Daphnia pulex: one gene and its partner. The protein of the gene in region 1 binds, or shares a complex with, the protein of each later gene. Links are inferred from orthologs where the notes say so. Each region holds a gene or a part of one and is shown on either strand. Other genes may lie near its edges. The genes, in order: protein HBS1-like and protein pelota-like.

Region 1 (2,493 bases):
AATTCAGGTAAAAAACAAAGGGAAATTGACCAAAGCTACTAATAGCGGTGTATAATGTGTACCTCATTATTATTTTATGTTCCAAGTACATTTTTATGCTTTTATTCACCGTCACGTAGTCCCTAAAGAGTCCAAGAAACAACTTCCCTATTGTCAATGTTGAATCTGTGTGAATGTCAGTAGAACCAATGGCGAAACTCCATCCGTGTTTTATAATCGGAAACGTTAGCAACGGTAGCGGTAGCAGCTACTCACCCAGCATCGAGTATAATCGCAGGTCCTAAAAGAAACAAAAAATAATAAAAAGGGTCTTTCTCCCGACCCGCTGGATTCCCCTTGAATCCAATTTTGGCGAGAAAGTATCCATTGTGAAAGCCATTTTCCCTTCGACAATAAAACTGACTGGCTTTGTGGTCTATCCCCTGAAAGTAATAGCTTGGCACTTAGCACTTTGTTGGCTATATACGGCTGATACTGAAATAAATAAATGACAATGTGATTCGACTAGACCAATCATCAATTGAAATAACACGGCAAAACTACGTCAATACCGATCCTTCGCTGTGAATTACCAGGCGCTAGCTGCTTTCTATTCGGTTCAAAGTCGTGTGAAAAACAGAAAAAAACACTTCCATGTCCTCGTCATCTCATTATATTTGGGACCAATGCACAAAAAAACAAAGAAAACCGCAACAAAATTTTCCAGCATTGGAAGCAATATCCATCGCCACCGATTCTTGCCCAATCTAAAAATAGAAAGTGTGCGTTACTGGACATGTCAAACGGCTTGGTAATAAACACAATTAATGCACCGTTTCGATGGAATACCTTAACGAGAAAGTAATTGACGTCACATGATACTCGTGACGAGCCCGGCGGCGATGGTCGTACCGCTTGCCCGGATCATGAATCGACCCAGTTCCCTGTAATCTTTGTAAAGTTCCATGCAGATGGGACGAGAAATTTCAATTTCCACCAGACCGCTGGTTTGTTTCGTTAAGCATCGAGGCCGTTTTCGAATCACTTCACCGGTGCTCTTGTGAATCTGGGCAATTAGTTTGGTGATCGTAGCTGCTTCAGACAGGGATTGATAATGAATCACCACCTGCAGACAATCAAACGGTTCATTTAAAAGAAGATTTACAAATGTGAGAGTCCATTTTATTTTACCGGATAGCCTTTGGTGATGGGGATGTCGACGTTGAATATCACCACACGGGCTTGAATGCGTGAAGTCACTTTAATTGGCTGGCTGGGGTCGCACAAGACAGAGCCAAGGCTGACGTCACTGAGATCAGCACCACTTACAGTCAGCACCACTTGGTCGCCGGCGAAACATGACCCCGTTGAGTTGTCGTTGATGGCGATATCTACAAAAAATAATAAAACATTACACGTTATTTTTTAGGAATCCAATTAGAATAAAAATAATTAAAAAAAGAATACTTTTTATTTGGATGACTTCGTTTAAAGGCATTACTAGAAGTTTATCAGTGGTCTGAATCATTCCGCTTTCAAGACGACCGGCCAAGCAACAGCCAGAGCTACCGACCACACTTTTAAAGATATCACTGATCACGAAGCGAACAGGTCGATTTAGAGCACGTTCCGGTGGTCGAAATTTGTCTACATACCAAAGTTGCAATCGTTAAAACGTACACAGCTGCTAGGCTTTGAAACGTATGGAAATATTGTGTACCGATAGCTTGAAGCAAAGTCGGTCCGCTGTACCACTCGGTGAGTTTGGGCTCGCTAGAAATGGTGAGATTCTCTCCGCTGAGCCCGGAAACAGGAACGTAGAATACATCTTGCTCTTTGTAGCCGGCTTGTCTTAAAAAGGCACCCAAGCGAGCCGAGATTTCATTGAAACGATCACGTGACCAACCCACCATATCCAACTTGTTGACGACCTTAGTTGAATATTCGTTTCAAAGCTTAAAGTTAGAAATTTCGATACATTTTTTATCAAATAAAAATGAACTTACGACTCCCAACTGGCTGACACCTAAAAAAAATCAGACATAAAAATCAATTTCAAACAAGATCAACGGAGTAAAAACACAAAGAATGAATTGATCATACCGAGAGATCGCACGAGGAGAGCATGTTCCCTAGTTTGCCCGCCACTTTCAAATCCTGTTTCAAATTCACCAGTGGTGGCGTCGACAACCAATAGGGCAACATCGGCTTGAGCTGCTCCGAAAATCATATTAGGAATAAAGTCTCGATGTCCAGGCGCATCTAAAAGGGTTATGGATTTGCTTTCCGTTTCAAATTGCGACTGGGCCACGTCCATTGTGATTCCACGTGCTCTAATCAAAAGATACACATTTTCAGCAATTACGTTGCATTGATTGAACACTCTTCAAAAACATTTGCTAACTTGTGGTATTTACCTTTCTTCCCCAGTTTCATCGAGTACCCACGCGTACATGAACGATTGCTTTCCAAGTTTCTTAGACTCTTGCTCGTATTTGTGCATCTGCTTGGCGG
Region 2 (4,019 bases), on another chromosome or scaffold:
CGTCTATACACTTCGTGTAGACCATGAAGTCTACAGACCCGGCAAAAACTAATTAAGGAAAAAAGTTGTAAAATCAATCTACAGCTTTTTGGCTCGTGAATAAAGAACTCGATAACTTCGACAACCTAACTCAACCTAAACTCGACACCTCGATCCGCGCTGGAAAGTCGCTTGATGATCCCCAGTTGTTGAGTACAATTGTTCATGCCATAAATCACTCAATGGCAACCCTATTAACTTTTAGTTCTACTCCTGCAATTGGGACAAAAAAAGTGAAAGGTTGCAAGGTGATCTAATGAAATTGCCGAATTGTTGATGTCGTGAGTCATCTTGAGGTATACGTGCACACTGCACAGCTCAATTTACAGGTTAGATCACATAAATGGAATGGTCTCTTGAATCAGAGAGCAATAAACTTACTGACCGAGATTCCAATTATAACTGAAAACACACAGATATCCTTGTTTCAGACTCACGCCAAACATAGTCACGCCCTGCAATTCGAATGTTTAACGTGTATCCACTTCTAGGCTTTGCCGATTCCAAGAAGAAACATTTACATACAACACGGGGAAGGTCTCATACCTAAAAAACAAAGTGGTCGATAATCTGTTTAAACACAAGTAAAATAAAAAAAAAATTTTTAAGGAAGAAATTAATAATAATTGGTGTGAATATATCCTATGACTAAAAGTCTAAAACATAGTTTTGGCAAAATATTATTTAACAGCAGTGACTTCCTTATTTTATTTACACCTCTAACATAAGTGCAGTGGGGAAATATTTGGACTGGACTTAAAAAAGGCAAGGAATCTCTCGATTGTTAGCTTTATTATTCTGAGTCTTCATCACTGTCCAACGGTTCATCTTCCAACTCTGGCATAGGAAACCTAAGCACTGCGGCCACACCAGTTAACTGCATAAGTTCTGTTTCAAAAGAGATATTGTAGTCAAGTTTCCGTTTTCGTATGATTCAGTCATTAAAGGAAAGCACTTACGTTCCCCCGAAACGTGAAGTGAGGAGAAAATGCGGGCAATACCTCCATTGTCTCGCACACTTTCAACGAGCTTAACGTACTTTTTACGTTCCTCAACACTTTGAGACCTGATAGAACAAGCTGATTAATAATTTGCATTTGAAAGTAGTTTATACTTCAATGTATACCTGAAAAGATTATCGGAAACCAAAAGAGTATCAATAGCTTGACCTTCATTGGCTTTTAGAACGTGTTTCAGGCCGTAGAAGGCACGACTTGGCTCTGTTTGTAGAATTGAATAAAAATTTTCTAGTGCTTTCACTTCGGCCATGGCTTTAGTATCGGCCATTCGCGATGTGACAGCGGGATCGGCTAAAACTTCTACAAAACGTGGAATGTTAGCTGAGAAAAAAAAGTTAAATAATTCATGTTCCCGACCTTGCACTTGCCTTTTAATGAATGTTTAAATCCTGACGAGGCGTGAATAAGAAGAAATTTTGATTTGTTATCGATCAGCATTCGATTATCATTTTTCGAAGCCCATTGCATCATGTATTCAAAGAAATGATCCTTCACAAAACCGGGAGAGGCGAGCAAAATGCATCGGGTGACTTCAAAATTGACGTGCCGAAGAATGGCTTGTAAGACGGTGTCGTAAAACTTTTGTAAACCCTGCGTCATAAATTCAAATGTCAATGCTGAAAATTTTGTAAATAATGAAATCAGGCCTTTAATAAACCTTTTCATGTTGTGATGTGCTTCCTTTTCTCTTACGAGGAATGGTAACATCAATTTTAGCTCTGACAAGGGTCATTGCTCCTGTGACCAGACAGACATTTGCCAAACCTTCATGCATAATAACTGCAGCAACATCTGCATTCTGACTCGGGTCACAAGCCATATCAATGCGTTCAAGGGCCACAACATCCCAGCAAGCTTTGGTTAGCGAAAATTTTCTGTTTGGCTCAATATCAACTGTGTGGTACGCTCCCATCTGAAAGTCAATTGTATGTATGAATTAATTGGTAGATGGACACTAAAATATGAAGTCATTCCATGATACCTTGACATATTGATTTTCTTCTATATTTCTTCCTTTTAACCTTAATACACAGGCCTGAGTATCAAAATCTATGGTTTCAACTTCTATAGTGAGCATTGTCCTTACTCGGCTGCTGGAAGATGAGCCAGTTGCCGATTCAGTTTGGACTTTCCTAAGTTTTATCAAAACAAAAATTTTTGTGATCAACATCGAGACACGTTTGTTTGTATTTGTTTTTAAAGGAAGATACCGAATTGTTGAGGCTCTGATGGTGTCTCCATGAGAAATAAGGTTGTAAGCATGCCACATATCTTCGGGATTCTCGGGGATGAGAGCGACCCGTCTAGAACATAACTAATATTACCAACTATCACAATTGATTTCGGATTTTCGAAGGTACACTGACCCTGTGCCGTCTCTGTCAATATATCTGCTGACGAGTTTCATCTTAAATTAGTTAGATTTAAAGTAATTGAGGAAGATTGAAGTAGAAAGTCAACAATCATGTTTGTGGAACACGAACGAAAGAACGCCATCTACACTTGGTAGGCGAACCGGTCAAATAGTAGAAAAGAAAGACGTCAGATGGCGAAAGTTTGATAAAATTTCAAAATTCAAATGATGTTTTCATTACGTTTGCTTTTAGCGCTTTCTTTGCGGAACGAGTGGCCATGCCATTTTGCATAAAAACAAGCGACTCACAATTTATCTACTATTTCCCTATTTGTCTGGTCTACCGATGACGGTAGACATCAAGCGAATGAAAGAAAAATGAATAAAGAATTGGCTTGATCGCTCAAAGAGTGTCATCCTTGTCTTTAATCTTAGTAGCCCAAGGCCGAACAACACTCACGAAACAAGAATTTTGTTTCATTTCGAAATGGCCGCTTTGCAGCAAGGCTGCGACGGTTTTATCAGCAGCGCCGGCCTTAATGAAATGCAGACATTTTTCAGGGAAAATTTCAGTTGCAGGCATGGGCGTCTTTCGATTTATTTTTGCACGTAAATCGATTGAAAGCGACACGCCTTGTTTGTTGTTCACAAAAGTTGTTGTGACTCCAATTTTTATAACCCCAATCCAAGTTCAATTGCTTGTTACACTTCAAACTAAACTAACCCAACATGCAACAAAGAAAAAATCAGTGACATCATGATTTGAAAGCTGTCGGCTATTAATTGGCTAATAACGTTGCTTTTCTTGGCCAAACAAAGTGTCGCCCACATATTCTACCCCGTTTCCCTTATCTTTCAGGTCGAATGGGCGAGAAATCAAAACAACCAAAACGACCTTTGTTCGTCGTCGTACTGTCGACCAGTTAGAACCTTCCGCGATTGCGTAAATTCATTCCCGCAGCAACTGCACGATGACGTGTTACGTTCGACTTTTTCGTTGGAATAAAACCCCCCACGCTCACAGTACCTTATTTGCTGATGGAACGATTTCCCGTCCAAAAGAAAATGCGGTGACGCATTTTACACACATATTGAGTCTGCGCTGTCTAGTTCCACAGCATGGTCTGCGCTATTAGTTTTTTATCCCGCGTGTAATTCACCTTTTTTTTTCTTTCTTTTGGCAAAACACAAAACTGCCAATAAATGCGTTGAGTGTATAAATCCAGGTTTTCCTTTCACCTTGCATAGCGAGGCGGACATGAAGTGCTGCTGCTGCGTTTATGGGCGTCGCTTGATATTCCATGACGTGTCCGTAATTTCACTTTTCAAAGAGAAGAAAAAAAAGAACTGCAGCAGCAGAAATCTTGTCCCGTTTTGGCATATGCAAGGTTTTCTTTTTCATCCATCAACTCGTCGTTAAATCGACATTATCTAGCGTGATAAGCAGCAAATACGCTTAACAAATCTACCGTCGATATCACAAAGAGGTATTTCGGGTCCAGTTTGTTGGTCACCTTGTTATTTTTCACCAACTTCCTGAAGGCACCATCACGTCATCTTGGCAAATGTTAACACATTCAGGTGGGCAAAAACGCCCATTGCAGAAA

The links.
Region 2: protein HBS1-like (region 1) and protein pelota-like share a complex: the UniProt entries of both Drosophila melanogaster proteins name them as parts of the pelota-HBS1L complex. The link is inferred for Daphnia pulex from reciprocal best matches to the Drosophila melanogaster genes HBS1 and pelo.

The regions. Positions count from the first base shown.
Region 1 is NC_060024.1:1,849,641-1,852,133, forward strand, and holds the end of protein HBS1-like, read right to left. Parts: coding exon 2,397-2,493; intron 2,313-2,396; coding exon 2,083-2,312; intron 2,006-2,082; coding exon 1,986-2,005; intron 1,911-1,985; coding exon 1,700-1,910; intron 1,627-1,699; coding exon 1,447-1,626; intron 1,371-1,446; coding exon 1,171-1,370; intron 1,106-1,170; coding exon 851-1,105; 3' UTR 829-850; intron 747-828; 3' UTR 637-746; downstream 1-636. UniProt on the Drosophila melanogaster protein: GTPase component of the Pelota-HBS1L complex, a complex that recognizes stalled ribosomes and triggers the No-Go Decay (NGD) pathway.
Region 2 is NC_060025.1:2,076,670-2,080,688, forward strand, and holds protein pelota-like, read right to left. Parts: upstream 2,574-4,019; 5' UTR 2,467-2,573; coding exon 2,426-2,466; intron 2,363-2,425; coding exon 2,270-2,362; intron 2,192-2,269; coding exon 2,041-2,191; intron 1,972-2,040; coding exon 1,717-1,971; intron 1,650-1,716; coding exon 1,427-1,649; intron 1,359-1,426; coding exon 1,166-1,358; intron 1,106-1,165; coding exon 999-1,105; intron 928-998; coding exon 833-927; 3' UTR 723-832; downstream 1-722. UniProt on the Drosophila melanogaster protein: Component of the Pelota-HBS1L complex, a complex that recognizes stalled ribosomes and triggers the No-Go Decay (NGD) pathway.